2 linked regions of the Diceros bicornis minor genome follow. The protein of the gene in region 2 purifies or fractionates together with the protein of the main gene of each other region. This does not show direct contact. Links are inferred from orthologs where the notes say so. Each region holds a gene or a part of one and is shown on either strand. Other genes may lie near its edges. The genes, in order: LRP5 and SOST.

Region 1 (15,835 bases), on a different chromosome or scaffold from region 2:
CTGAACGGGCAGGAGATGAGGACGGGGGCAGCGAGTGTAGACGCTGGGTTGGAGAGGCTTGGCAGCTGAGCTGACAGAGAGGAAAGAATGAAGGGCAGTGGAGAGGTTTTCTTGTACTTTTTAAGAAGGGAGAATCTTGCTCATGTTTACAAGCTTAGTGGGTGGAAACAGAAGAGGGGGGTGAGCTGGACTTCGGCCAGGCAGGAGGGGTCCCTGCAGGGGGCGAGGACCTGGGAAAGGGGAGGTGGTCAGTGCAAGGGAGGGGATTAGCCCAGCAGGAGGAGGGCCATGGTAGAGCCGGGAGGCCTGGGTTCAAATTCTAGCCTCGCCATTTTCCAACTGTGTGACCCTGGGCAGGTGCCATGTCTGTCCTGAGCCGTGGTCTCTCTCTTGAGATGGAGTTAAGACAGGACTTTCTGCCTTGGTTTTGTCTGATATTGAAGGCCTAAAACAAAATAATACATGCCATCCTGCCGGGGGCTCCAAGCTTTAGGGGGCCCCCACTGCACCCCCCAGCCCACCCATGCCCACGGGTGACATGCTCCCTGATGCCCCCCACACCTGCCCCTGTACTTGGACCCCGAATTTTCTACCCAAACAGTACAGAGCCGGAGTCACAGGCTGTGCAGGCACCTCCCCCAGACCTACCCTTCCCCGGGAGACCTCACCTGGGGCAGAAGTCCAGGGAGGTCCCGGGCTGGGTCTCCTGTCACCTCGCCCCGGCACAGAGGAGTCCAAAAAGTCTAGATGGCATTGCCTCCCTGGGGTTATGAGGTGTATTTGTCCAGCCAGCGGGATAGAACACTCCTTACTCTGCAATCTGTGGGCTGATGTATAACTTTTTTTTTTTACAGTGACCACCCATAATTTTATTACATAGCTTCAAAATTTATTAAGATTTTGCCACATTTGCCAGAAATATAAATATTGAAAGTACGTTGCAGACAATTTGGAGCTTCTGCATTAAATGGTTTGAAGAGAGCTCCTAAGAAGATTCTCTTATGTAAACGGGATAGTTTTGTCACATCTGAAAAAATACTCCTAATTCTTAATATCATTAGAGTTATTTTTTTAAGCAGTTTTTTTTAAAAGATCAATCGGCATATCTCTTTTGTCTCTTTTTATGCAGAAAAATCCCTCCACCTTTTTTTAAAGGGCACTGCTGTGTTGAACAGTGGTTAAAACTTTCAAGTGGCAGGCATGCTGCTGGGTCTGCTTCGCTCTTTCATCCTGGGTCACCCACTCGCCTGAGGTGAGGGCCCTGTAGGAGGGAGCCTGGTTCTGCAGCCCCAGGGTGACCCACTCGCCCCAGTGTGCCTGGAACCTTCCCAGATTTAGCCCTGAAAGTCCCATGTCCTAGGAACTCTCGGTTGCAGGCACACCGGAGTGGTCGGTCACCCTATGGCCCACGGCCCACCTTGAGAGTATAAAAGAGGGGTACGTGGAGTGAGAGAGAGAGGCTCCAAGGTGCATCCGCCTCATCTCGAGACTGAGAAGGAGGCTTTGAGGAACTAGGGGGGCTAATGTCCCCAGAGCTGGGGTCTGGATGGCGGACAACAGGTGTGTCTGGTGATTGCTCTGCGCCTGATACGTTATTGGTCAAGGCTGTGGCTGCCTGGCCAGCCGTGGAACTGGACAGGTGGCCGTGATTCCTGGATGGTTGGGCCAAGGCGTGTGTCACAGGGGTCAGGCGCCCTCTGAGAAATACCCAAGTGACCACAAAGAGCCCCAGAGAGAAAGAATCCACATCTGGAACCCCCGAACCTACAGGTTTTTGTGTGTGTGTGTGAGGAAGATCAGCCCTGAGCTGACATCTGTTGCCAATCCTCCTCTTTTTTGCTGAGGAAGACCGGCCCTCAGCTAACATCTGTGCCCATCTTCCTCCACTTTATATGGGATGCCGCCACAGCATGGCTTGACAAGCAGTGCATGGGTGTGCGCCCAGGATCAGAACCTGCAAACCCTGGGCCGCTGAAGCGGAGCGCACGCACTTCACCTCTGCGCCGCCGGGCCGGCCCAGAACCTACAGGTTTTGAGCAGTCTGGGTCACAGGGGCGCCGGTCTCCCCGGCTCCTTTCCGTACCCTCTGTCCCTCCCTCCCCCCAGCTCTGGCCTTGAGGAGCAGAGCAGAGGCCAAGCTGGCCTCCCCCCTGTGGCTCCCCTGCCCACTCAGTTGGGCTGGAGCGGGGGAAAAGCTGGGACTCTGAATAAACTTTAGGTCTGATCATTAAACCAGAACTGGAATTGCAGCTCCTCATCTGAGGCTGTTCTTGGGACTGGAAGGGCCCCGAGGACTTCATTGCCCCTGAAGGTGACCAGAGAGGCATGGCAGCCACCCAGTGTCCATCCAGGTGCACTGACCGCGGGGCCTTCTGCCTCAGCCCTGTGGAGTCTTGCATGTTCAACCAAGTGCCTAGCATATGCTCGGCCCTCGGAATAGCCAGGTGCACGCGAGCCACTGCGTGTTTCCAAACAGCTCTCCTCAGGGTCCCGGGCCACCGGCCGCTCGCTAGGTCCAGTGGACAGTCTCCACCCCCATGCCACTCGTCGGACAGCCGCCCCCTCTTGGCCCTGCCCCTCCACTCACTCTCTGCCCTGGGTCCCGGGAGCCACGCTGCCCTGCTCCTCCTCACCTCTGAGCCTGCAGGGCCCCAGCGCGCAGCCCTCAAACCCCTTCCTTCAGAGCTGCTCCTGCGGGATCACGGCCTTAATCCTGAAGATTCCCGCATTTCTATGCCAGCCCAGCCCTCTTCCCCAACCCCGGACGCTGCCCACTCTATTCCTCCACTGGGAAATCTAATAGGATATCGGCCAGACAAGTTCAAGGGGGACTCCACCCCCACCCCCGGGGTCTCCTCCCTTTCATTCATCAATTCTTACATCTCAGTGCATGGCAGCCCCCACCTTCCAGGCGCTAGGGCCAAACACTCCGACATCACCCTCGACTCTTCCTTCTCTCACCCTTGACCTTACCCTCCGCATCCTCTCTACCCTCAGAGAGATCCAGAATCCAACCACTTCTCACCATCTCTGCTGCTGCCATCTGGTCACCCTGAACTTGGACCACAGCAATGGCCCCTCATCTGGCCTCCTTGGTTCCTCTCCCGTCCCCTCTATTTCCCACACAGTAGCAGAGAGATTCTGTAAAATGGAAATCAAATCCCATGCTCCTGGCCCTCCAAGGGTCCCCCCATCTCTCTCGCTCAGAGGAGATGGCCTCCACGGCTCTGCAGAGCTGGCCTGCTCCTCTCTGTACTTGGCTGTCTCTGCTACAGCCCCTCTGGCCCCTCACTGCACCTCAGGGCCTTTGCACGGGCCTTCCCTGCTGGCTGCAAGGCTCCCTCCCTCCCTTCTTCCAGGTTCCTGGATAAATGTCCCCTTCCTAGTGAGGCCTTCCTCACCCCCTGACCCTCTTATGCTGCTTTATTTTTTCTAGAACAGGTGTCACCATCTGACCCCCTAGAGCAGGGATGGGTGAATGTTTCTGTACAGGGCCGGATAGCAAATATTTTAGGCTTCACAGGCACACAGTCTCTGTTGCAACTACTCAATTTGACCGTTATAGTGTGACAACAGTCAGAGACGATACCCTGGACAAGCGCTCACCTCTCTGACCTCAGTTTCCTTCCCTGTAAAATGGGTTGTGAAGATTAGGGATTGTGTTAGTTTCCTGGGGCTGCCGTTAACAAATCACCACAAACCAGACAGCTTAAACAGCCAAAATTGATTCTCTCCCAGTCTGGAGGCCAGAGGGCTGAAATCAAGGGGTCAGCAGGGCCGTGCTCCCTCCAGGGGCTCTTGGGAGGCTCCTTCCTGCCTCTTCCAGCTTCTGGGGGCCCCTTGGCTCCTGGTGCATCCCTCCGATCTCTGTCTCATCTTCACACCGCCTTCTCCGCCTCTTGTGTCTGTCTCAAATCTCCTTCCGTCTTTCTTTTATAAGGACAATTGTCATTGGATTTAGGGTCCTCCCAGATAATCCAGGACGATCTCATCTTAAGATCCTTAACTTAATTACATCTGCAAAGACCATTTTTCCAAATAAATTAAGATTCACAGGTTTCCAGAATTAGAATGTGGATTCTAACCTTTTTTGGGCCACAATTCAACCTACTTCAGGTGTCTTTAAGGCGCTTAGAAAGGAAAATGAAACCTGAATGTCAACTCCTTAATCTGCAGTGAAAATAAAACTGCTAAGTGGACCCGACACTTGTGTGGCTCTGTCTAGAACATTCTCCCCAAGGACGCAGGTTACACAGCAAGCCACGTCACCAGGAGGGTCGAAGCTCAGGACTGCAGAGACTGAGGCGTGGATGACCACTATCAGAGGAGGGGCCTGGCTGGGCCATGCTCATGCCCTGTCTTGGGTCCATGTAATCACCATTCACATTAATGCAGCGCGTTAAAGTATAAAGTGCATTTTTACAAGTCTTATCTTATTTGAGGTTCACACCAGCACCGAGAGATAAGAAGTGGAGCAAACACCATTGTTCCCATTTTTATGAATGAGGAAACAGAGGCTCAGAGAGGTGAAGCCCAGCCTGTGTCCCTCACACCCCAGCTATCTCCATGGAGACTGTGGCCAGCTACTAACTAAGCTTTCCACTGCCCACCACCCTGCGCCGACGGCCGCCTTCTCTAGCCTGCTCCTGGTGCGGATGCCGGGAGGTGGTGCGCTTGCAGCGGGGAGGCCCTGGGGATCTGAGGGATAGGCCGGTCAGTGGATGTTCGCATCGCGCGCCTCCACCGAGCTGCCCTCGTGAGGATGCTCGTGGCTTAGAGAGCCCAACCCTGCGGGAGCCCAAGGCACACCTCTGACCACAGCCGCCAGGCCTGCCCGGCGGGGGGGTTCTCGTGCCCAGAATAACTCTCCAGAGTCAGCATGTTCCAACTGGGGAGAGAAACCAAAAAGGCACTTTTCCCCAAGTGTTACAAGGCTGAGATGTTATCCTCAGATGGGCCCTAAATGGACTCCGGTTGAGCCTCTGTCCCCGGAAACGATTAGATCCAGCAGGTGCCAATCCCCCGTGACTTCACTGGGTTGGAACTTGCATCAGAGGAATAAATGGAGAGCGAACAATTCCAAACACGAGGCCGAAGAAGAGTTCGGTGGCATGGTGAGCTGTGACAGGCAGCCTTCTGGGGAAGTGGAAGCTTAGCACATTCTCTGGTTGCTTCTTACATTAGTGAAAAGTCTAAAAATTACCGCCCTTGTGATGCCAGAATTCTGCAGGATAAAATGGTGATTAGTTCTCATTGGTTCTTTGCAAACAGCTTTTCTCAAAGTTCTGATCGGCATCAGGCAACTTGGGATCTCGCTCTGATGCCTCAAGACCTGGGGCACAGTCCCTTTCCTTTCGAGGAGCCTCCGGTGGCCCCTCCACAATGGATATCCCAAGAGTTGGCACAGGAAAGCCCAGGGCACCCCAGGAGCTGCTACCAGCCTCCCCCCACCCCCTGACTTAACTGGCCTCTTCTATATATACCGAATTCTCCCATTCAAGAGTCAAGCGTTCCGTCTCCCTCCTTGAGAATACAGAATCCCAATGTCTGTCTGTTTGTTTGCTTATATCTCGGTTCATTTTCCTTTCCGTCATTTGCATCACTGAGTGTAGGGTCTTCAGCTTCTCCGGATCCCTTCTCAGATTTAGAACTTTGGACCAGCTGCTGTAATAAGTGTCCACTAGCAAAGCCCCTACTGCAGGCCACCCTGGATCCCCTTCCCCTCATCCCCACAGCCAGCGCCCTTAGCAAGTCCCATTAGCTCGTCCTAAAGCATCCGGAATCCAGCCCCTTCTCACCATTCATGAGCCCCCCACCCCTGCCAGTCCAGGTGGCCGTCTCCCCTGGCTGCTACCGTGGTACCCACTTGCTGACCAGCCCCCACATCCCCTCTTCCCTCCTGACAGTCCTGTCCCCACTCAGCAGCCAGAGTGCTCCTTTTATGAATGTAAATCAGATCTTTTCACTTCAGTCATTCATTCAACAAACATTTATGGAGTACCTACCATGTGCCAGGCCCTGTCTAGCCTCAAGGGATCCACAGGGAACAAAGCGCTGAAGTCTCTGTTCTCATGGAGCTTCCATTCCAGTGGAGGGAAGAAAGATAAGTAAACAGTTTGTCAGATGGCGGTCTGTGCAAAGAAGAAAGGTAAAGCGGAAAAATGGAGCCAGAGGTGCCGGCAAGGGTGGAGGGGGGCTGGTTTGCAATTTTCATAGGGGGTCAGGCAAGGCTGGATGAGGAGCTGAAGGTGTGAGGGAGTGAACCATGTGGATAATGGGGTAAAAGAGTTCCAGCAGAGAGACCAGCAAGTGCAAAGGGCCTGAGGCAGAGTGTGCTGGTGTGTTTGAGGACCAGCGAGGAGGCCATTGTGGCTTAGTAGGGTGAGGGAGAGTCCAGAAGGAGGTTGGAGAGATAAAGGGAGAGGTGCGGCCAGATCAGGCGCTGTAGGTGCCATATGGCCTTTGGCTTCTATTCTGACAGATATGGGAGCCATAGCAGGTTCTTGAGCAGAGGAGGGGTGTGATCTGACTTGTTTTAACAGGCTCACTCTGGCTGCTGTGAGATCAGGCTGAAGGGGTTCAAGGCCAGAAGCAGGAGACCCATCAGGGGGTGAGAGGCGACCCAAACTGGGGTAGTGGTAGTGGAGGTGTGAGAAGAGCCGGGAATCTGCGTCTGTTTTGAAAGTGGAGCCAACAGGATGTGCTACTGGGCTTGGGCACGGGTGTAAGAGAAGAATCAGCGGAGATTTTGCTATTCAAATCCCTACGATGGCTTCCATTGCTCCTGGGATAAATTCTCGACTCCTCTTTGGGGTCTGACATGCGCTGGCCCCAGCTGGCTTCTTCTGCTGCTCGGTGGTGGTGGCTCACACGTCCCTTCCTGCCTCAGTCAGAATTCCCCCAGACACTGCAGCCCGACACCCTCCAGTTTTCCCAGCATTCCTCACAGTCTGTTAATGGCGTATGCACATATATATTTTTAATTTATCTGTCTTCTTTTGGTCTCCTTCCCTAGAGCAAACCCCAGGAGGACAGAGACGCTCTGTGTGACCACTAGCTTTGTAAAGTTGTCACAAATGCATGAAGAACGCACGTATCCGGTTGTTCATCTGTCGCCGCCAGTTCTCTGCACCTGCAAGGTAGGCATCGCTATCCCTATTTTAAAAGGGAGGAAAGTGGGCCGAGAGGGGTTATATCGAACCCAAGGGCACACCTGCTTCTGGGAAGCAGCAGAGCCTGAGTTCGAACTCGAGACCACAGGTCCAGAGCCGTTGCCGTGGCCCCTGGCAGCCCCTCCTGTGCCCTCAGAGTGCAGGGCTGAGCTTGAGGCTCAGGGGGGCACAGAGCGGGGAGGATGGGGGACGCCCAGCGCCTGCCTGTCGAATGAGTGCAAGGCGAGGTCTGCGCTCCTAGGGGGCCTTTTTCCCCCAGCCCGCCCAGAAGCATATTGGGAAGAACGCAGCGTGTACTGCCCGGTCTCCGTGCACCACAATTAACGTAGGGGGCAGACATTTAGTTTAAAAATAAAACCTCAAGCCCATCCCCACTCCCAGCCCGTGCCGCTCCCGCCCCTCTCCATCATCCGCTTCTGTCCCTGCCCCGGCATCGCCTCGCGGTCGCCCTTCGCTGCCCTCCCCAGCGCCCCTCACCGGCGAGAACAGGTGTCGCGGGGCCGCCCCGACGGGCCCCTGCCGGGGGTGGCTGCGCTCGCAGGACGGCGCACAGACCTGGCTCCGAGCCCCTGGCTTCCAGCCCCAAAACTGCCTTTCTGTGTGCCCTCGGGCCACCCCTCTTCCCTCGCCCCGCCCCCGTGCCTCAGTTTCCCCATCGGTAAAGGCCGGGTCCCGGCAGCTCTACAGGTGACACACCTGCTTCCGGGACTTGCTCAGTCCCCGGGCCCCGCGGGGTGGAAAGCCGGCGCCCGACCCCGCGCCCCCGAGGGGCCCCAGAGCGGCCCCTCGGGGGCGGCGCGGGGCGCGGGCAGGGCCGTGGGGAGCCGGCGCGGCGGCCGCCTGGCCCGGGGCCGGCTCCGGGGGGCGCCCGCGGGAGGGCGCGGCCGGCGCGGGGGGCGCGGGCGGGCTGCGGCGGCGGGGGGCGGAGACGCGGCGCGGCTTCCGCTCCCGCGCCCTCCTCCCTCCTCCCCCGTCGTCCTGGTCCGCGGCGCCCGAGGGGGGAGGCGGCAGGCGCCGGGAGCCGCGCGAGGAGCCGCCGGCGCGCCATGGAGCCCGAGTGAGCGCGCGCGGGCCCGGCCGGCCCCGGACAACATGGAGGCGGCGCCGCCCCGGCTGCTGCTGCTCGCGCTCTGTTGCAGCCTGGCCCCCGCCGCGGGTAGGTGGGCGCGGGCCGGAGGGACAATGGCCCGGGCGCCCGGGCGGCCCCGCGGCCAAGTGCGCGGCGCCGCCTCGGAAGCGACTTGGCAAGTTGGGGGCGAGTTGGGGCGCGCACCGCGGGTCCCCGCCGCCCCCCGCCGCCCGGGGGCCGCGCGCCGGCCCTTTGTCTCGCCCGCCCGGGCCCCTCCCGGGAACACCGGGGCCCGTCCCGCGTCCCGGGCGGGCGAGCAGGGCGCGCGGGCGGCGCCGACCCCGCCAGGTGCGGCGCGGGCGGGTCCTCACCTGCCCGGGCCCGGGGCGCGCTCGGAGGTGCGCCCGCGGGAAGCCGGCCGGGCGAGGCCGTGCCGGGCCCGTGCGGACCCCGGCCCGCGGGCAGGCACAGAGCGGGGCCGTTCGGCCCGGAGACAGGCCTGGCCGCCCTGCGTCGGGGACTCTCCGGCGAGCCTGTTTCCGATGGCCGCGCGGCCGGCCTGCGAGCTCCGAGAACTGATTGAAGTTGCAGAGAAAGTTCTGAGACCGGGCGCCGGGCGGCCTGGCCTGTCGCGCGGCCCCCTTTGCTCGGCGTGGCTGTCGGTTTCCAAACGGACTGACACCTGCCAGGTGGCAGGACGACCCGTCTGGCCGCCGGGGCCCCGCACAGTGGCGGCCGAGGGGTCGGTGTCCACCCCGGGGGCCGGTGCGTGGGGCCGCCGCGCGGGGTGACGTGGTCCCGGAGCGCGGCGCGGCAGGGAAGCGTGCTCGGCTCTCGGCTGTGCACACCCTGTGGGAGGTCGGGGGCTGGGGACCTTTCTCTCCGACTTTTGGTGTGTCCCGAGGGGTGGAGTTGAGGTCAGGAGGACTCGGGAAACCTAAGCGCCTTATGAAACGCTACACATGTTCTTTTAATTTGGAGATTGCCATGTGGTTTTTGAAGCCAGTCTGTCCTACCTAAAGCCTTCTCTTCGGACGTGAGTGTTTTGTTTTTCTGGAGTGTGGCTGGCCAAGGGGACGCGACCAGCGAGTCCTGTGCTCTCCGGGCTGCTATTCTGCTGGTGGCAGTTTGGGGGCGGGGGGGGGTCCCTCGGGTCCCTTTGTCTGGGCCTCTTTAAGGCAAACAGCTGTCTCCCTGAATATTTCCAGTGTGGACTTCGCAGGGAGGTGTCCTGGCCTGGCTCTGGTGGCATTCCCAGTGCCTGGGCCCCTCCATTGAGGTTTGGGGGGCTAGAGAAGGGGGTGTTTCCCCAAGTCTGCCAACCTCCCAGCCCAAGCCCGGAGACTGTTGGTGGTTTCACCCCAAATTTGTCTTTCTCAGGAACGTGTTTACATTTCTCAGCCATGTCTGATACCAGCAAAATGAGGTGACGGCAGAACAATGACAGTATCTGGGTAGTCCAGGCCAACGCTGCTCCTTTTCTTTCCGGAAATGCCTGGATCACGGAGGCAAAAGGGTTTTTTTTGGGAAGATGTTTGTTTTAAAGGTGGGGTTTCTCAGCCGGCTACGTTGCCTTTCACTTTGTTGCAGTTTTGAGTTTCCTCTACCTTTTGGGGCGACTTTGCTGGAATCGAACGCCCGTTGGTGTGCGGTTCGAGCCCGGACAGAGTCACATCTGTGGAGTTCAGTTGTATGTGAGGCAAAAATAGAGTTGATTATTTTAACATTAGGGAGTATGTCAACACGAGGTTTGCAGAGCACTGGTTAACGTGGTAATCCAGTCCTAAAATGGACGGAAGGGGAGGAATCTTTCTGCAGAGCGATTTTTGACTGTTCTCCGTTTGTGATATCCCGCATTTCTATGTTAGATTTATGCCTTGGTCCGGAGTGGAGCCAGTAAGCTGGTAGCTAATTATTTTTCCTGATTGCTTCCTGTTGCAATTTGAAGCTGTGAGCCCACGGAAATGCCTTTGTTCTTGTGGCCCCCGTCATGGGAATGGCCTTCCCCAGACCCACGGCCCGGGCTTCTCCCCTCTGGCCCCACAGCACTTGCTCCAGGACGGCCTTTCCAGGGCCCCCCGCAGGGTGGTTACTGCAGATGCTCACTGCGAGGTGCACCAGGAGGGCCCAGCAGGTGGGTGTTAACTAAATTCTGCATGGAGTCCACTGAGGGAGTCCCCCCAGAGGACCTTCTGCTTTTTAAAGCAGAGCCCACATGCCTTTCACCCTCCCGCTCAGATCCAAGAATTCACCCTGTCAACCCGGATGATCCAACATTTGCCGTGGAGATCCCGTTGTAGTTGGAACCCGTTTAATTTCAGCGGCACTGTGTCACCGCTCAGGCATTTAGCAGCATTTGCACGCTGGGGTGGGGGGTGCAGTCAGGTGAGGACTCAGCATGGCTTCCTGCCCTGAGGTGTGGGCTTGCCAGGCCTGAGAGCCAGGGCTTTGGGCTCAGACTGTTCTCCGTTTGTGATGTGACAGAAAGCCCAGGTTTACATGCTCAGTAGCTGTTTGACTTCGGCTGACTGACTTAGCTTCTCTGTGTCCGGTGTCATCCCCTGGTCCCCCCCACCCTAGGCAGTTGGAAGAGTTAAATGTGTGTGCAATCCTCAGCACCATCCCTGTCCTGGGCGAGGGACTGGTGGTGGCCGAGCTGCGAGGCCTGTTGTGTAACGGGGTCCTTGATCTTTCTGGGCTGGAAGGTCTAGAAGCCGTTACCGCTCAGTCTGGATGATTTCCTCGGCGTGCGACCTTGGATGTTTAGTGCGCTGTCTGACTCGTTTATTGCTGCAGCACCACATGGAGGCCCTCGGGGTGATGAACGTTGTGGGCAGGGCCCGAGTGTCCGGGGTCTAATCCCAGCCTTGCCGGTTGCCATGTGGGGGAGCTTGGGCAACTTGCTCCACCTTCGTGTGCCTTGGGTTTCTCTTCTGTAAAATGGGGGTAATAATACTTAATACCACTAATTCAGGGAGTTAATACACACCCAGCACTGTATCAGCTCTTATTCTCGTTGCTGTTACTCTTTGGCGCCTGGTACTGTGTGAAGTGCTGGGGATAGAACGAGACAGGACGGATGGAACGGCAGATCCGGCTGGGCCTTTGCTGTCGGGAGGGTCCGTGTGGAGGGAAGCAGGCAAACAGAAGCCGGCTGAGCAGCTGTGGGAGAGGCAGACCCGGGGGCTCTCTCTCACAGTCCTGGAGCCCCGTCCTCAAGGGCCGGGTGGTCTCCTCTGCTGAAAAAGGCCAGATCACACTGCAGAGTCTGGATGTGATCCAGAAGGCGATGGAAGCTTCTGGAAGACTTAAGTCGGGGGCAGGAGGGTGGATAGGAAATGCAGGCTGGAGTCAGGTCTGTACTAGGTGAAAGGTGCTGAACTGATCTTTATTTTTCTTTTGATTAAGGTGAAAATCACATAATATAAAATGAACCATTTTTTTATTTTTTATTTTTTGTGAGGAAGATCAGCCCTGAGCTAACATCCATCCTAATCCTCCTCTTTTTGCTGAGGAAGACCGGCTCTTAGCTAATATCCATTGCCAATCCTCCTCCTTTTTTTCCTCAAAGCCCCAGTAGATAGCTGTGTGTCATAGCTGCACATCCTTCTAGTTGCTGTATGTGGGACGCGGCCTCAGCATGGCCGGAGAAGCGGTGCGTCAGTGCGCACCCGGGATCCGAACCCGGGCAGCCAGCAGCGGAGTGCGCGCACTTAACCGCTAAGCCACGGGGCTGGTCCTAAAATGAACCATTTTAAAGTACACGATTCAGTGGCACTTAGAACATTCACGATGTTGTGCAGCTTCCATTTCCATCAAGTTACAGATCGTTTCTATCACCCAAAAATAAAACTCCGTGCCGTTAAACAATAACTTCCCATTTCCCCTGCCCCCAGCCCCTGGCAGCCACCAGTCTGCTTTCTGTCTCTATGGAGTTGCCTGTTCTGGACATTTCATATACGTGGACTCATACGACACGTGGCCTTTTCTGTCTGGCTTCCTCACTCAGCTTAATGTTTTCGAGGTGCGTCCACACTGGTGGAGCAGTGGTGTCTGCTCCGAGACAGGCCGCCCTGCGGGGCCGTCCTGGGGACAGCGCAGGTCCAAGTGCTGATGTGCGGAGGCAGCTGCAGCCGCACAGACAGGGCCCCAGGGTCCCGCCCGCTGCTCCAGGCTGCTCTCTTTAGCTCTGGAAAGCGGTTTGCCAGCTCTCAGTCTCAGTTTCCCCGTCCTCAAAATTGGGACGATGCATCTGCCTTGCAGGGCACTGGATGGGGTTCAGTGAACCAGTGTCTGGGAGGAGGACACGGGGGCCCTTTCCTCCAGGGCCAGGTTCGCTTTTAAAAGATCCCGATCACCCTCGTCCAGCTGGGGGCCGGGAGTGGTGTAAGATGTTGGGGCTCTGTGTTTGGCGCTGGTTTGCCCCCAGGAGTGGCGGGCAGCCCTGAGCTGGACTGGAGCTCCAAGCGGGAGCAGACCTGGCCGCTGACCCTTCCCCTGGCAAGGGGGAGTCCACGAGGCTGTGTGCTGACTAGGGAGTGCCCTTGCCCACATCTGTCCTGCCTGTTCTCGGGCCCTGAGCAGCCCCGCTATCTGTGCGCCTCCCAGCCCAGCCTTTGCCCCCACCTGGCTGGGGACAGTTGACACTCCGCTGGCCCACCTATGGGCTCACCTGCCCGGTGAGGCTTTGCCTTGCACTCTCGTGGTGGCAGCAGCCGCGTGGCGCTGGAACCTCAGGTTCTGACCGAGTCTGTGCCCAGAATCACGTGTCCACTGTTCTGTGTCCCCCTTGCTCAGGATCTCTCTTGCCTTGGACCCCCTGGGAGGTTGTCACGGTGACGTCAGAATGACCTGTTTTTCCCACTTTTAAGTGTGCGACTCAGTGGCATTATTTACATTCACAGTGTTGTGCAACCGTCACCACTGTCTATTTCGAAAATTTGTTTATTACCCCAAACAGAAACTGTACCCATTAAGCAGTCACTTTCTCTCTACTTTCTGTGTCTATGAATTTTCCCATTCTAAGGACCTCATATTTGTGGAGTCATGCAATATTTGACCTTTTGTGTCTGGCTTATTTCATTTAGCATAATGTTTTTGAGGTTCATCCAAGTTGTAGCATGTATCGGAACTCCATTCTTTTTTACTGCTGAATAATATTCCTTTGTATGGAGAGAGCATGTTTTGCTTATCCGTTCATCTGTTGGTGGACACTTGGGTTGTTTCCACCTCTGGATATTGTGAATGATGCTGCTGTGAACATTGGTGGGCAGGTATCTGTTTAAGACCCAGCTTTCACTTTTGGGGCTATACCCAGAAGTGGAATTGCTGGATCATATGGTATTTCTATGTTTAATATTTTGAGGAACCATCAGACTGTCTTCCACAGTAGCCGAACCATTTTACCTTCACATCAGCAATGCACGAGAGTTCCAGTTTCTCCACATCCTGGCCAGCCCTTCCCATTTTCCCTTTTTATGGTTCTAACCCTCCTAGCAGGTGTGAAGCGGTACCCCATTGTGGTTTTGACTTGCGTTTTCCTGATGGTTAATGACATTGAGCATCTTTATAAGTGCTCGTTGACTGCTTTCTTTTACAAATATATATATATTTAAATGCAAGACACACGTGTAAACAGCTTAAACATGTTCCATGGTACCTCTGTCTGTGAAGACGGGCCTCCTCCTTTATTGCCTAGTTTATTTCTCCCCTCAGAGATGACCAGGCCTTTAACACGTATTTTAACGTGTTACATTTTTTTGAACACATCCTCATGTTTTTTATATAAATCCCATCACTCTCGATCATTCTATAGTCTGTCTTTTTCACTTGCTAATGTATCAGAAACATTTTCTGTATCTTTACTTTTAGATCTTCATTCTTTTTAAAAGCCAAGTATTTCGTCGTATGGGTGTATCATACTTCTTGGCTTTTACTCAGTTGGGGAGCATTTAAGTTTTTCCAGGCATTACTGCTATTACAAGGTGTGCTTCAGTGAGCGCCCTTGCTCATGCGTATCTACGCACGTGTGTGCAAGCATTTCTGTGAGACACGTTCCTCGTCAGAGTATGTCCATTTATAAGTTTTCAAAGATACCGATAAATTCCTCCGAAAAGTCTGCATCAGTTTGTACCCTCCCAGGCCTCTGTGAGAGTACGTGCGTTCCTGTATCCTCTCCAACACTGGCGATTACCAGGTTCTATTTTTTGTAATCAGTTTGATTAAAAATTATAACACCTTTTGGGCCAGCCCCGTGGCTTAGCGGTTAAGTGTGCGCGCTACGCTGCTGGCGGCCCAGCTTCGGATCCCGGGCGCGCACCGCCGCACCGCTTCTCCGGCCATGCTGAGGCCGTGTCCCACGTGCAGCAACTAGAAGGATGTGCAACTATGACATGCAGCTATCTACTGGGGCTTTGGGGAAAAATAAATAAATAAATAAAAATTAAAAAAAAAATTATAACACCTTTTGATTTGCACTTCCCTCATTACTGGTTGATTGGCCATTTGTATTTATTTTTCTGCAGATTGCCTACTCTCATCCTTAGCCCGTTTTTCTGTTGAGTTATCTTTTTCTTATTGATTTGTAGGAGCTCTTTATTTGGTGTGGACATTAATTTTTTTGTTATATTTGTTCCAGATTTTTCTTCTGGTCTTTAACTAGTCCTTCATCCTTGTTTCTGGTGGTTTACTATTATAAAGATGTTAAAAAGTTTCATGTAGCCAAAGTTCCCAGTCTTTTCTCATGGCTCTGGGTTCTGTCCCTTGTTTCTCTACCCTCAGATTTTTAAATACATCTTCCTTTATTTTCTTCCAGGACTGTTATTGTTTTGTGTTTTTTTTGTTTTTTTTTTTGTGAGGAGATCAGCCCTGTGCTAACATCCGCCAATCCTCCTCTTTTTTTGCCGAGGAAGACGGCCCTGGGCTAACATCCGTGCCCATCCTCCTCCACTTTATATGGGACGCCACCACAGCATGGCTTGCCAAAGCAGTGCGTCAGTGTGTGTCCGGGATCCGAACCAGCGAACCCCGGGCCGCCGCAGCGGAGCGCGCGCACCCAACCGCTTGCGCCACCGGGCCGGCCCCTGTTTTGTGTTTTATATTCAGATATTATTCTATCTGATGTTTTTGGGGGCGGTATATGGTTTGAGGTAGGGATCTGAACTGTCCCTGGTACCCCCCTCCCTGCCCCCATAAGTGGATAGGGAGTTGTCCCAACACCTTGAGGGAATGGCCCATCCTATCCCCATTCATTTCAAATGCCACTCTTTTGTGTTCAGTGTCCACAGATGCTTGGCTCCTTATTCTAGAACCTTCCACCCTGCTCTGTTGACCTGCGGGTGTCTTTCTGCACCAGCATGCTGTTGTTTTAATCTCTGTATCTTCATAGTATATTTTAAGATTGATTGTGCAATTCTTCCTTCATTGTTCTTGTTAAAAAATTGTGTTGACTCTTCTCGTACATTTAAAACTTCAGAGTCAGCCGTCAGGTTCCATCCTTTGATCTCTTGATCCAGGACATTAAATGGTGACCTTCAACAGGTGGCAGAGGGCTGGACTTTAGAAGTGGTCTCTGACAGGCAAGCTGGTCTCTGGC
Region 2 (15,701 bases):
CCCTCCCAGCTGAGCCTCCTGGCTGGTCCGCTTCTGATTGGCGCCAGGCTCATAGACCCCATGTAGGTAGAATATAACTTTCCATAAATAACCCTTAGCCTGACCTACAATTTAGCCTTTGGGTTTTTTCCCCTCGTGGTAATGGGATTGTAGCCTGGGCTGAGCCCTCCTGGATCTCTGGGTCTCAGAAAGCAGACCCTAGGGGCCGGCCCCGTGGCTTAGCAGGTAAGTGGGCGCACTCCACTACTGGCGGCCCGGGTTGGGATCCTGGGCGCGCACCGACCCACCACTTCTCTGGCCATGCTGAGGCGGCGTCCCACGTACAGCAACTAGAAGGATGTGCAACTATGACATACAGCTATCTACTGGGGCTTTGGGGAGAACAAGGGGAGAAAAGGAGGATTGGCAATAGATGTTAGCTCAGGGCCAGTCTTCCTCAGAGAAAAGAGGAGGATTGGCATGGATGTTAGCTCAGGGCTGATCTTCCTCACACACAAATAAAAGGAAAGCAGACCCTAGGTATAGCTGGTGTTGGGGCATTGCTTGGAATTCCTGGTTCCCCAACACTGCCTGGCGCAGGCAAAGACTCAGTACACGTTGACGAAGGGTGCTGGATCGAGTCTTATCCCCCAACGAACAGCCATGCGCCTTCAGCCTCAGTGCCTTTGCCTAGAATACCTGTGCCCCCTTCTCCACCTGGCCAGCCTCTAAGCAGCACCCGCCTCTGTGAAACCTTCGCTAACCTTTATCCCTCATCCCCACCACAGAATGAATTATTCTCATCCTTAGTCCCATAACACTTTGTACAGAACAATGTGACCTATTTGCCTACGTGCCCACCAGGCTCTGAGCAGCTCGAGTGAGTGTCAGGGCTGGGAACTGAGCCCACCCCTGGCTGCGGACAAAACATTTAACCCCTTGGTGCCTCAGATCAAACACAAACATGGCTCCAGGGCCCATGTCCCAGCCACTGTAGCACATTGCCTCCGGGGGCTGGACAATGTATCCATTTCCTACCCACTCTCCTGTTCCAAGCTCTGGGACACTCCTCACAATGCACGGATTCCTTGCAGGGTCTCACTGAGGCCACCTCGGAGCTGGAGGCAGCAACACCCACTGACACCTCTCAAAGACTTGATGATGGTAATAAATTTATGACGGTTCATTGGGAATTACAGTGGAAAGTCATCTGGGAGGACTTCAGCTTACTTTGGGGGGTGAGGAGGGCTCTTGGGGTGCGGTTACCCCAAGATGGGATGGACTTGATTTAAAACTTTGCTATTGATCATCCCTCCTTATGGCAACAGAAGAGTAGTTCTTGAGTCTCAGCTAGCGTCCGGCACTATGTGGCACCTTAGGTGGTAAGACTTTGAGAGAAGTGCCAGACATTGTCCCTGCTTGCGACGAGCTTACACCTTCACCAGGGAGGCATGAAACTCACGTTGAGAAAAAAGCTTGACTGAGCTCCCCGTGAGCTGGTCCTGAATTGTACTGGGCTCAGTGTCTATCCTGGTACTAAGCAGGACTTGGCCAGGTGAGACAAAGTGATCCAAGAATGAACGTCAAACGTAAGACAGAGACTCAGGGATCAAAGCAGTGGCATGGATAAAAGGGGCTGCACATCCAAGGAGAGAGGGATCAGCGGGATTGGAACATTTCTGGAAGATTCAGGGAAGAGGTGACAAGAAACATGAACCCCCCAAAAAGAGCAGGAGTTGTTGTGGGTGGTCAGTGGGGACAGCAAACCAAGGAGGCAGGGAGCAGTACAGCAGTACAGCCTGTGGCCACTTGGAGTCAGTACGGAAGCTTCGTGGGGGGGGCGGGGGATGGGAGTCAAGCAGGGGAAGGTCTTACATGTCAGACTGAGAAGCCCGAACTTGATCCTGGGCAAGAAGGAGCTGTTGAAGGATCTTGAGCAGGGGTATGCACGATGAGAACAACGATTTTAGAAGACAGCATGAAGGGCAGGCTGCTCAAGGGAGAGCAGGCTGAGGTGATTACAATGGCCAGGCAATGAGGAATGAGGTCCAGGTTTGGAAAGGAAGGGACAAACATGACTTTTCAAAGGAAAGACTGCCACAAGGGCCACCATAGCACAAAGTACGTCCAAGGTTGTAGCCCTAGTGACCAAGAGAAGGATGTTCACTTTGACAGAAATGACTGTGTGTGGTTGACAAAATGAGACCACATCCTCTCCATAACGATCCATTGTCTTTATTAACAATGCCTCTGGATTCTGAAGGAACAGACTGGTATTTCATAAAGCAATATTAACATTGTCATTCTCTACAAGAAAAACTTTTGCATAAATAACTTAAGTGAGAAAATAAATATGTAACTTAACTCTTTTTAAAAACTACTACTTTCATTCTTGCGGACAAATCCCACATGAAAGGACTACAAAAATGACCAGCCCAGCAGGCTTTCACACGGCATGTGCTTCTGTTTAGCAAAAAAAAAACTTTTAACAATTAAAAACTACACAGAAAGTAAGAGGTGCCTGGAAATGATTTTCAAAAAGATGTTTGGATGGCAGCTATTAGGTTTTGCAGTTTCTCAGCATATGTACAGCACTTGTCATTTTTTCCCCAGTAATATTATTTTAATGTAAGAAATGCCATCACATGTACCAGCAGGAAGAAGCTATTTTCTGGACAGAAATGTGTCAGTGGATGGAAGGCAGGAGGAGGTACCTCAGAAGGGATCTGCTGGCTGCTCCCTTGGGCCTGCAAACCCAGTGTCCTGGGACCCTGAGCTTCTCTACAGAAGGTGACTTTAAAATATGGCCATGGCAGGGGTGGGGTGGCGGGCTGCTCTTTGGGAATAGAGGGGTGATTTCTGTCCCTCCTGCCACCCTTGGGACCTTCTCCTTCTCTATCCCAATTGATGGTGTTGTTTCTGCATCCTTTCAGATGGAGCAGTGGAGGTAGCCAAACATCTGGGGAGGCCAGGCTGGGAAACAACACCGCATCCTTGGAGAGTCTGTCAGCTTTAAATAGATTCGTTTCTTTTTTCTTGCTTGTTTTTCATCTCTGGCTGCCAGATCAGAGGATTACAACTCAGAATTCTGGAATTCAATCCAACCTCTCTCTCTCCCTGCCCATGTAAAGGGCACTCGAGTCTTTGCGATCAGACGCCAGTAGATTCCTCGAGATCCTAATTCCATTCCCTACCTCCATTTTACAGAAGAAATCGAGGTCCAGAAAGAGAAGAGGGTAGCCACCCGGCAAGTTAGGGGCAGAGCTAGGACTAGAAGCCCCGTCTACGGACCCCAGTCCTGTGTTCTTGGCACAACGCGGCACTAAAGGCTTCACGACGGGCAGAGAAGTAGAGGGGGAATCTTATGGAACTTTCTTAACCGGTCCTCGGCCTTTTCTCACTCCCCACTACTCCCTTAAAACCCGGTGAAATGCTTCCCTTTCTGCCTCCTTCGAAGTGGGACCAGCCAAGGTAGGCGGCCCCGGTGGGCGGGGCTGCGTGGCTCAGTGTCTGTGACTCTCAGCTCCCTCCCCGGCCTGCGGGACCCCTTAAGCGGGCGGGGAGAGGGGGGCTTTGCAGGCACCCAGGATCCGCAGGGCCTAGCTACCTCCTGCCGAAGCCAGGAAGGTCTCGGCCCCCTGCCCTGGGTTGCAGGCATTTAAAAGGAAATACAAACAATCAAACCGCGCGCGGAGGGCAGGAACCTGGGGCGCCTGGGTCTGGGGCGCCGGCTGGGGAGGCGCGGCGGGCGGGCTGGCTCTAATAGGCGTTCTCCAGCTCGGCCTGGTTGGCTTTGGCGCCCCGCGCGCCGGGCCGCGGCTTCCGACCCTTCTGCGGCCGCGCGGCCTCGGGCCCGAAGTCCTTGAGCTCGGACTGGTTGTGGAAGCGGGTGAGGCGCTTGCACTTGCACGAGGCCACCAGGCGCACCTTGCGCGCGCGCGGCGCCGCGCCGCCTGGGCACTGCAGCTGCACCCGCTGCGCGCGGTAGCGGTCGGGGATGCAGCGGAAGTCGGGCCCGCTCGGGCGCCACCACTTGCCGCGGCCGATGGCGTTGGGCAGCAGGCGCGCCGGGCCGCACTGGCCCGAGCACACCAGCTCGGTGACCGGCTTGGCGCTGCGGCACGGCCCGTCGGTCACGTAGCGGGTGAAGTGCAGCTCGCGGCAGCTGTACTCGGACGCGTCTGCGGAGAGAGGCGCGCGTGAGGGCGACGGCCAGGCCCAGCCCCCGATCCCCGCCCGGCCAGGCTCCCTCCACGCCACTCCCGCGTTTTCCAAACCTGCCTCTCTCCAGACGCTCTTGCCCCTGGGAGTTATTATGGGAAGGGCCCAGGGACTCTGGGGCTGGTGGAAAGCCCCACCCTGACCCTGACCCACCCTCTCCCCCTAATTCTTTGGAGCCAGTGACTGCTGTGGTTCAAACACCAACTCCATCACTGCGTGATCTTGGGCAAGTTACTTAACCTCTCTGTGCTTCCTATCTGTAAAATGGGTTGTCTTGAGTATTCAGTGAGTTAACCCATTACATAGATAATGCAGGGGACGCCACTAGGCGCGTGGTAAGAACTGAAAGTGTTGGCTATTGTTATGTGTTGTTATTATTCGTCTCTAAGGGGGCCCTCTTCACCAGACTGAAGTCACACCTGTGCCACAGGGTCCCTAGCCATGGAGGGTAGGTGGTAGCCACACCCTCTGCATGGCTCTGGCTTCTCCCAAATTTCTTTTCCAGCCACTTGGGAGGGGTGGAGAGGGGATGGAGACAGGAGTAGGGGTTAATTGGAGGTAATAAGTCAGGGCAGCTGCTGGGAGGAGAGGGCTGGAAGGGGAGGTGGAGAGAAGTCTTTCGACTTGAAAGGAACCAAAGGCAGCCTGTCAGACCCCCTCATTATCACTGAGGACACTGAGGCCCAGAGAGGGAGAAGGGCTGGCTCAAACGGCAGACCTGGGTCTCCTGACTCCACTTCCCTGGCGCCCCGGAACCTCTCAGCTCCCACAAGGGTGGAAGCTGTGTGCCTGATCACCCATGGGAGGCTAGGCTGGGGGAGGGGCGAAGGGCTGCTTTTTACTACAGTTACTTCCCTACCAGAGGAGGACCAAGCTTGGACTGAAAACCTACAGTTTCGGCTGCCACAAACATTAAGCACTTGCTGTGTACCAGGCACTCTGCTGGGCCATTTGATGGACAGGCTTGCTCCCTGGGTCCGGGGAGATTGGGCTCTGAGGCCTGGCTTGGTCCCCCCAAGACATCTTGATCATGTTTCCTACTGTGGGCTTAGTCTGCTGGGAGCCTTTTAAAGAGCTGGTCCTCATGTGAGCGCCTGTCTACCCCCAAGGGTCTCATGGGGACAGTTACCATGTGACACGAAGGGGTGAAAATAGTCCTAAGAGCAAAACCAGAGAGGGGGCAGAGAAGGCCAGGCCCCCACCCCCAGGCGCTGGAGGACAAGCACAGCAGGGGAGTTGTGGGGTTTGCCTTCCTTCCCTGGCTGGCCTTCTGGTTTCTGGGCTAGTTTGGCATCCTCACCCCTGCTCCCAGGCTGTGGTGTGTGGGAGTGACCTGTTTGCCCAGGGAAGGAGGCAGTTTGGGTCTTTCCAAGAATAGTGACCCTAGGTCAGGTGCTTCCTCTGCAGAGGGTGACTTTGTTTTGAGCACGTGGCTTCATTGGGGCTTGTGCCTCTCATGGGAGCCCAGGGAGGTGGATGTCTTGTACTTGAGTCCCCTACAGCCCACTGCTGGAGCTTGGTGAACTTGCCTGGGGGAGAGCGGGGGAGGGGCCTCCTGCTCTCCCGTTTTGAAGACCTGAGGTCCTCCAGCCTCTCTGGGGTTGCCCTTTGCAGAGCCCCACATTCCCAGGTGGTCGTGAGGCGGGGAGGGATGGGATGCAGGAGCCTGGGCAGTGGACTCCTCTCCCACCTGGACAATGGCCAGAGGGCAGTGAGGCCCTCACTCTGAAGTGTCATTCCAGTCCCTGCCCCCAGCCATTCCTGCCAGCTGCAGAGCCAGCTGTGCACACTGCCTCCCAGGCTCCTGTGTGCAGACCTGAGCAGGAACCCAGCTGTGCCCTCCACCGGGGCCACTGCCTTTTCACTAGGGCCAGGCTCCCTCCCCAGGAATGAGGCAAGGCTGGGTCTGGGTTGGGGACTCAGGACAGACAATGCCACCTGTGTCCACTCCCTGCACAGAGGATGCTGCCTCTTCTCCAGGCCCTGGACCCAGCTGCCACCTAGGTCAGAGGCTAAAACTGTGCCTACAACCCCCGTTCCTTCAAGTGCCGGCTCACTGGGCAGACCGTGGGCAGGGGGGCCAACGGGGAGCCTTTCTGGCGTCCCTTTCCCACTTCTCTGCGAGGATTTGCTCTGGCTCTTGGTCCCCAACACCCCCACACAATCCCCCCACCAGAGTTGTCTTGGAATTGGCTCAAATTGGGTTCAAATCTCAGCTCTTCTACTCACTACCAAGTTAGTCTCTGGAGCCTCGGTTTCTTCACCTCAAACTGGGAGTTCCCCTCATGGGGCTCCCACACTGTGGGTCTCTGGGGACAGGACAGGCACGGCGGCGTAGTGTCTGGCTTCCAGCAGGTGCTCAGATGACAGGCTCCCTTGCCTTGTCCCCTCCCCAGTGGTGCCAGCAGCTGGACCTGTACTCCTCTATTCTCAGGAGGGGATTCTTTGAAACCTTTTTTCAGAGCCCCTGAGCCTGTCCCAGTGCTGTACCCTCACCACCTGAGCCTCCTTGCTGCCCCGGGCTCTCACTGCCAGCCTCCTGCCAGCCTCACGCCCCTGCACTCCAGTTCCAAGGCTACACTGGCATGCCATCCTTCCCCTGCCTCCAGGCAAGACTGTCCCTCCACCGGTGCTGGCAGTGGCTGACAGTCTACCCCAGTCTTCAAAACCTCCCACAGAGAACCCACCAGGACCCATGTGCTACAGAGTCTCTCCTCCCCCGTACCTTTGGTCTCAAAGGGGTGGTGGGGAGGCCTCCCTCCGTTCTCCGCCCGGTTCATGGTCTTGTTGTTCTCTGGCTCTGGGGGAGGCTCGGGGTACTCGCCCAGCTCAGGGATGATTTCCGTGGCATCGTTCTTGAAGGCCTGCCACCCCTGGCCCTCCACCACGTGGAAGGCTGCGTGGACCAGCAGGCAGACGAGACACAGGGCGAAAGAGAGCTGCATGGTGCCAACCGTAGGAGAGCACCCAGCCTTCCAGGAGCACAGGCTCTGGTCCCCAGCCCGGACACGGTTGCCTTTTTAAAGCCCCCTCTGCCTCATGCCAGCCAATGAGGACAGGCTGGGGCAGGGCTGGTCCCATGCTTCCCTCAGCCCAGGGGGAGGGAACAGGCTGTGCTCCGAGCAAGCCCTCTCCAAAGACTTCTTCTCAAGCCCAGAAAACTCCCAAATTGCTGCTGGTGCTCCCAGGTGACCCAGGGAGAGCAGGGCGTGTGGGGCAAGCCTGCCCTCCAACACCTCCCACGTGCAGGCGGCTGTGGTTTTCGGATATCAAATGAGTTCCGGCTCTTCATCTCTACCTCCCTGGGTCCCTCGGGCTTTCTCAAAACAAACTGTGGACCAGCTGAACACAGAAAACTGCAGCTCTGGGTCCTCCACAGGGCTGAGCCCAGCCAATCCCATTTCTCAGGCCAAATGCATTTGTCATCGCACCAATAAATGGCCCTAGGGGTGTATATTTGGCCCCCACAGACCCAGACAGAGGCAAAAGGATGCTTTTTAAGAAATCTCATCGGGTTAGCTCAGGGCCGGTCTTCCTCAGCAAAAAGAGGAGGATTGGCATGGATGTTAGCTCAGGGCTGATCTTCCTCACAAAAAAATAAAAAAAGAAGAAAAGAAAAGAAATCTCATTGGTCCCAACTCCATGAGGCTCAGCATTATCCTGACCAAGAAAGCCCTTCTTGACATCCTCTGGAAGGCAAGAGAGAAAACTGGGGGGGGGGGGGGGGGGGGGTCACACTGAACATGCCTGCTTGGGTGAGGGGCAGGGACTCTGGTGACAAGGCCGGGATGAGCAAGTCAGCAGGCTCTGGCGATGAGCTCGAGGAAACCTCAGCTCATGCTCCTCGGGGATCCTGCACACGGTGACAGGCACTTTATGGCCAGGACACCCTAGGGCTTGCAGGCTGATGTGCCAAAGGCAGTTATTTCCCCAGCCGGGCTGTGGGTAGGAGTGGGGAGCACAAAATCCCTTTTCTTAGCAAAAGCCAGGGCCAACATTTTTAGTGCTGAGATTTTTTTTTTTTCTTGTCTCCCAGCCCACCACAGTTTTCAAAAGCAGCTTTGAGTGCTAGATGGAAAAGCTTATTGGTGCAAGTCACGGGCTGCATTCCATGAAGCCATCGCAGGTCCAGCTAGCCACAAAGAAACGAGAAGGAATTGCTACCTCAGCCCTGGAGCAGAATGAGGGGCCTTGAAGAGGGAGAGGCACGGGGCAGGAAGGTTCACACCTGAGGTGCAGGAAAAGAAAGGAGGGCCAGCGGAAGCTTTCATCCAAAACGGATTGTTTGAGGAGCCGCGCCCACTCCTGGCCCTGAAGGGAGGCTGGGAAGAGGGCTGTGGCCTAGGTCTCCTTGGTATTTCCACTGGGCCATGAATCAGTACGCCCCACCTGCAGAGCCTCTGCCAGGCTTTTGCCACCTGCCTCGACTTGTAGGTCGCTGTGTCCATCTGCGGCCGTCTGTCCCTCCTTCTTTCCATCATCCATCACTCGACACATGAATGCAGCTGCTCTGACAGTTTTACAAGCCAGACAGAAGCCTCTGCAGGAAGGGCCCTCTCTGATACCTGCTTCCTATGTCAGTTTCCTTCAGGGCAGACGAAAACAGCTGTGGCCATTGTTGGGGGTGATCTATCTCTCCCAACAGAGCCGGTGTATTGTGAGAAGCTGGCCCTCTGTGCCCCCTCCCCTTGTCTGTGACCCTCCAGCCTCCTTTCTCCTTGCTCTGGAATGTGGACCGTTAACCCCGTCGTGGCTGCACAACTGCCTTCTGGGCCTGGACTTCAGAGAGGGCAGTTCTGACGCCTGGATTCCTTGAGCTGGCGCGATTGATGCTGGAGCCCCACCTGCTGTTGGGAGCCAGCCCATCCACATGAACCCCGCGACTGTGAGGGCCATCTTTGGAACATTTCTGCCACCTGCTGGAGAAGGAAGGAGGAGCCAGCGACCGAAGGATGGAGAGGCTCAGTATTGCTTTATTTCGTATCATTACTTTATTTGAAACTGAAGTAATGTTAAGAGAAAAAAGAGAAGAATCCAATGGACTTGAACCTCTAAATTATCTCCTTCTTTTTTAATTATTCTCTGCCAATGTATAGCCATGCTTTTTACAGAAGGGCTCAGAGAGAACATGCTATGATACCATCTGCTTTTTCACTTAACGCTAATTCAGCTTTCTATTTACTCAGTCCACAAGCTTGTCGTTGTTCAGAGCTAGACACTATTCCCCAGGGTTAAACCCCCAGGGTTTTAGCAGACTTCTGTTGTAGGTAGTTTAGGTTTTAGCATTTCCAATGCTCCCTTATCCTCAGTAGGGATGCTATGAACATCCTTGTACAAAGTAATTTTTTGAATTAAACTTTTTGTTTTGGGATCTTTGTAAATTTGCATACACTTGTAAGAAATAATACAGAGAAAATTCCGTATACCCTTTACCCAGTTTCTCTCAAGTAACATCTTGCAAAACTATAGGACAATATCACAGCCAGGATCTGGACATGGATACAATCCCCCAATCAAATTGAGAGTACCATTTTAGCTGTACTCGTGTGTGTGTGTGTTTAGTTCTATACAACTTTATCACATGTGTGGGGTCAAGTGTCCACCATCACGGCCAAGATGAAGAACAACTTGTGATCAAAAAGATCCCTCTCGTGGTCCTTTTATACCCACACCCACCCTCCCCAAGCCCTCCCTCTTCACCCCTAACCCATGGTACCACTAACCTGTTTTCCATTTCTATAATTTTGTCATTTTGAAAATGTTATATAAATGGAATCAACCAGTACGTAAGCTTTGAGAATTGGCTTTCCTCACTCATAATTCTCTGGAGATTCATCCAAGTTTTGCATGTATCAACAATTTGTTGCTTTTTATTGCTGAGTAGTATTCTACCAAGTAATTTTTTTTTAACTTTAGGGTTATTTCCGGAAGCAAATGCTGGGTCTGAGAGGGTGAATGATTTTGCTACATATTGCAGGGTTGTTCTCCAGAAAACCCAGTCATTTCCTCAGTCCCACCAGCGACATACAAGTGGGCACGTGCATTAGCTTGTGAGGGCTGCTGAAACAGATACCACAAACTTGGGGCTTAAACAACAGAAATGTATTGTCTCACAGTTCGGGAGGCTGGAAGTCTGAGATCAGAGTGTTGGCAGGGTTGGTTCCTTCTGAGGGCTGTGAGGAAGAGTCTGTTTTGTGCGTCTCCCCTAGCCTCTGATGGTTTGCTGGCATCCTTGGCATTCCTGAGCTTGTAGAAGCTTCACCTCGATCTCTGTCTTCATGTTCACATGAGTTCTCCCGGTGTGCGTCTGTGTCCTCATTCCCCCTTTTTATAAGGATGTCGGTCACAGTGGATTAGGGCCCACCCTAATGACCTCATCTTAACTAATTACATCTACAAGGACCCTACTTCCAAATAAGGTCCCATTCTGAGGTACCAGGGCTTAGGATTCAACATATGACTTGTGGAGGGACACAATTCCATCCATAACAGCATGTTTCTCCACAAAGCTGCCAACACACCGGGTTTGAGCTGTTAACATTTTTTAAATTGAATTTAGTAATTTAATAGTTGTACCTTAACTCCTAGTGAAGTTGTTTTTCTGTGTGATTATTTACTGGCTTCTACCAAGCTGCCTATCCACTTGCCAAACATTTAATGAAGCAAGGCCTCCCACCAGGCTTCCAGGAGCTCCTGTACCAGAGAAGTAATAAGTTCTCCACCCAAATAACTCCAATAGCACGTAGAAAGTGATTGGTACCACTAAGAAATGGTTCAGATGTGTTTTTTTAAAAGGACAAAGTGTTCTGGGCCTTAGGAGGAGAGAATAATTTCTTCCTTGCTGAGGTGGACTTGGCATCCTCACGGGAAGACGTAGCATTTGGACCAGACTTTGAAGGACAGGCCAAATTTGGCAAGTAAGTTATGCTCCTTGGACCTCTTAGGATCACAGAATCTTTGATCTGAAAGGAACCTCAAATGTCACCTAGTTTCACTGTCTACTTGGTTCTCAAGCTCCCTGACTCTAATTCATGGAAACTGAGGATTCTCCTTATTGGCTCCATTTTTAAACAGATTTTGCTTCCACAGGTCAGTGGTAAAAATGGAGTCTCTGGGGGCCGGCCCCATGGCCTACTGGTTAAGTTCAGTGCGCTCTGTTTCGGCGGCTGGGGTTCAGATCCTGAGCACGGACCTACACCACTCATTGACGGCCATGCTGTGGCAGCAACCCACATACAAAATAGAGGAAGATTGGCACAGATGTTAGCTAGGGCAGATCTTCCTCAAGCAGAAAAACAACAACAAAAAATGGAGTCTCTGACTTTGGAGAGCAATTTCTGCAGGTCATTTCCTGCATTGAGGGAGGTCCACGTCACCCTGTCTCTATTCAAGCTGAGAACTTGTTCTCTGTAGAGTTCGGGGTCTCAGCACAGGGGAAACGCCCTCCTTGTTCATTCAGCAGCTTCCGAGGGACAAGGGGGAGAGGAGCTCCAACGAGCTTTGTCACTCACCCTCCTGCCTAGAATAGGCGAATGGCTCCCCCGGCCCTAACAGGATAACCTTCCACTTCCTTCTGCCTGGCAGACCATGCCCTTCAAGGTGGGGCCCTGACTCATCCCCAGCACCTCCCCAACTGCCATTCAATTCAAACTACCACCCTCTGCCTGCAGAGCCCCTGTCTGCAAACTCTTGTTAAAGAACAAGGTATTTATGATGCTTGTTAAAAATGGTAAAGAAAACTTTATTCAAGGGAGTACTGTGGTGAGAGGTATAGGGCCACTGCAATGGGCTCTTGCAGTGGGGGAGAGAGATTGGGCTCCACGCCGAATACGAGGTAAAGTGGGGTCTATAGCCAAGGAGCAGGGAGGGGGGCAGTGAATGAAAAATTACTAAGAGGAAGTATTAGGGGTAAGGGTGATTTTGGCTACCCCAACCTAAGAGGATTCTTGGTGAAGGCAGGCCAGGGTGGTCAGACTTCACCTGGGGGGTCATGGGGGATGAGGAACCCAAATAGACATTGAGGGTGATCAGATATGGAGGGTGGAGGATTCTTACTAAAATTGAATAATACAGAGAGGAACAAGGAAACCCAAAAGTCGAGGCCCAGTTGAAAAAAGCTCAGAGGAGCCTAACAAAGGTTTGGCCCAAGAGAGGCTCTTTGTCACCGTGTGTGTCTGGAGACTGTCTTCTCCCTCCAGAACCCGGCTGCACCTGCCCCCCACTCTTCTTTCTCCATTTCAACACCTCCCTCCCTCTTCTCTCTGCCCTCCTTCCTCTCAGGGTGGCCGCTCAAGGCCTCTGTCCTCTGGGGACATTAAAGTGGAAGGTCATCTAGTTCATGGGCTTTCAAACTAGGTTTCTCCGAACCCCAGGTTTCCACAGAGATAGCTCACGGTTTAAAAAATAAGTACATTTTCGTTATTTAAAAATACACACACATTAATCAAATGTGTTACGCATCTACTTTCAATGAACTAGAGACCACTCATTCATTCAGTGCTGCCTCCAGGGTAATTCATTTTAGCGTAGACCTCAGAAACTGAATCTCCGTGCATTTGAACTCCTTATAAATGCGTCAATTCAGAAGGCCATAGCTTGGAGACTGTCTTTTTAAAAAGTTAGGCTTGGGCATGTCCACCCCCATAAAATGACACAAGCGAGCACAGGACACTCCTTCGCTCTGAGTATTGGGATGGGCTTGACACTGTGCCACCACAACAGATGACAGAAAGTAACAGGATACAAGGCAGATAAAAAATTGCAACTGTCATCTGTAAGTCTCATTTCAACATTCTGTGCTCATGAAAGCAGCTCAGGGCCGGCCCCGTGGCTTAGCGGTTAAGTGCGCGCGCTCTACTGCTGGCGACTCAGGTTCGGATCCCGGGCATGCACCGAGGCACCACTTCTCCAGCCATGCTGAGGCCATGTCCCACATACAGCAACTAGAAGGATGTGCAGCTATGACATACAACTGTCTACTGGGGCTTTGGGGAAAAAATAAATAAAATTAAATTTAAAAAAAAAAAAAAAAAGCAGCTCAGACCTTTAAAATAAAAGTATACAGAAATCCCAGTCCATCCACACACAATGGAATGCTACATAGCTGTTAAAAGGAATGGGGCAGAACTATAAGAAACAGTGGGTAAAAGATGTTGTCAAGCAAAAAAAGCAAAGTGCAGGGGGCCGGCCCGGTGGCGCAAGCGGTTAAGTGCGCGCGCTCCGCTGCGGCGGCCCGGGGTTCGCTGGTTTGGATCCCGGGCGCGCACCGACGCACTGCTTGGTAAGCCATGCTGTGGCGGCGTCCCATATAAAGTGGAGGAAGATGGGCACCGATGTTAGCCCAGGGCTGTCTTCCTCAGCAAAAAAAAGAGGAGGATTGGCGGATGTTAGCTCAGGGCTGATCTCCTCACAAAAAAAAAAAAAAAAAAGCAAAGTGCAGAACATTTTCCACTTATAGAGAAAAAGATCTCTCTGTGTATACACACATATACATATGTGTGTGCTTACATACATGTCAGATGTTTCTAGAAGGATATACTTTATAGCGGCTTCTTCTGGGGAGAGGGATTAAAGGTTTGGGGTAGAGGATTCACTCTTTGTTATAAGCCTTTTGTATTGTTTGAATTTATTACTATGTATATACAGTATTACATTTTTAATTAAAATGTTTTCAAAATTATACTTTAAAAACACTTTTTACCAGTTTCACATATCAGTGCTCTGCCTTAAGATTTTGTGTAAAAATATGAAGATTATATTGCAAAGAGGTTTGACAAATACTGAGCTAGTCTAACCACCTCACGCTACACATCGGGAACTGGAAACGAGAGAAGCTCTTTTTCTGCCCAGATTTTTTCTGTGTGGGAGAAAAGGCACCCAACTTGCTCTGCGTTTTTTATTTATAGGAAAAAGGCAATGCTCATCATAAGGGAGATAGTGCTAACAGTGGAATTTAAGGCATCTGGGGGCAGGGGTATGACCTGGGACTGCCTGTTTGCAGAACCACTCAAATCCTAATGCCACTCGATCATCTTCATGTGAGTCCACCTTGAGACTGTCACCCCAACCCCCTGCTTTCTTAGGAACTTAAATCATACCTCCGTCATTTGGAGTGGGCCTCTCTACTTAAGAATGTTCCAGTCAATTATACCTCAATAAAGCTGAAATTAAGATAAATAAAAATAGAAGAATAGAATAGAATACTCCTAACACAAGAAATTTCTGGCACTGGAGAGAAGTTCAACGAACATCCACTGCATAAATATAATTGTCGTGGAACCTACAACTAGCTCAGGAGGGCTAATTTTTAAATGATGATTATTTTGCAAAGTTAGAAAATGCAGACATAAGAGCTAAGCATAAAAGCATAAAAGAAAATCAACTATGATAAGAACAAAAAAAGACCATATCTTTGTAATGTAAGACATTTATTTTGGTTACAGTTTTAGTGTTTTAACACTGACTTGTGATACAACAGATGTTAAACTTACTTTTTTTTAAAACCAATTTGATACCGTCCCCTTTTCTGTCCAGAAAATTCACACTTTCATAATCAAATTACCCTAAAAGCTGACAAGAGGTAAGTTAAACTTCCAACCAATGTGCTCTCTCAGCCAGAGATGGCCTCTATTTTCAATCAGGATAAAATCTTGACTTGGAAGGACGATCATTGTTGGCTCTTCAGTGATTCGTGACACCGGTTTTGTGACAAAGAAAGTTTCCTGCGAGAAAAGCTCATATCTTCATATTATCAGATCAGTGCTTCCTTCGATTAAAACATTAGCATCTTAGCATTAACTTGACACAGAAGGCACAAACCATCCATCACCACGGGTGGAACACAGCGTCACCTGCTGGTCATCATATTTTTACACATCCTATAATTTCCAGGTGATGGTAAATTCCAAGTGGGGATTCTTAAGAGAATCCTACACTGTCAGAGCCAAAAGCGACCTTAGAAGTCTTCTAGATGAGACCCCTCATTTGATAGATGGTGATTTCTGCTCTCAAGATAACTCAGAGTGGCAGGGAAACAGACCAGCCTGTGGAAGGTGTACTGCTTTAGGACTGAGAAGAAAACCATTTGGTGCTTTAATTTTGCCCAGATGGGAGTCTCCTAGTCACAGAAAGGAATCAGGTCAGGGGAGGGGGTAAGGGCACCCTGAGTTCCTATTCCATCACTTCCCAGGGGGTAGAAAGCTGTCCAGAAACAGCTTCCAGTCACAGCTGGGCATGTGTGGGCTCTTACACAATAGAATTTGATTTTATTTTACGTAAAGAACTAGGAGCTAAAACTCATGAAGTAAAGATGGGGTTTCTGGGACTAAAGACTATCAAGAAGTTTCAAGTTATCAGCATAAAAGTAGCCCCAAAGTAAAGGCAGTAATTGTCCCAATGGCCTTTTCTCCTTCATGCCCTCACAAAGAGGCCTGCAAGAGGTCCTGGTTAAGTAACCACACCAACCTGCTGTGTTTGGCTAAGTGGCTGTGGCTGCCCTGGGG

The links.
Region 1: the proteins of SOST (region 2) and LRP5 purify together in Homo sapiens (affinity purification with mass spectrometry; 3 studies listed by BioGRID and IntAct, counting the BioPlex papers as one, with this or other methods). This does not show direct contact. The link is inferred for Diceros bicornis minor from reciprocal best matches to the Homo sapiens genes SOST and LRP5.

Annotation. Positions count from the first base shown.
Region 1 is NC_080770.1:5,619,830-5,635,664, reverse strand, and holds the start of LRP5 (low-density lipoprotein receptor-related protein 5), read left to right. Parts: upstream 1-8,179; 5' UTR 8,180-8,264; coding exon 8,265-8,328; intron 8,329-15,835. UniProt on the Homo sapiens protein: Acts as a coreceptor with members of the frizzled family of seven-transmembrane spanning receptors to transduce signal by Wnt proteins.
Region 2 is NC_080757.1:42,470,151-42,485,851, forward strand, and holds SOST (sclerostin), read right to left. Parts: upstream 7,282-15,701; 5' UTR 7,146-7,281; coding exon 6,926-7,145; intron 4,161-6,925; coding exon 3,739-4,160; downstream 1-3,738. UniProt on the Homo sapiens protein: Negative regulator of bone growth that acts through inhibition of Wnt signaling and bone formation.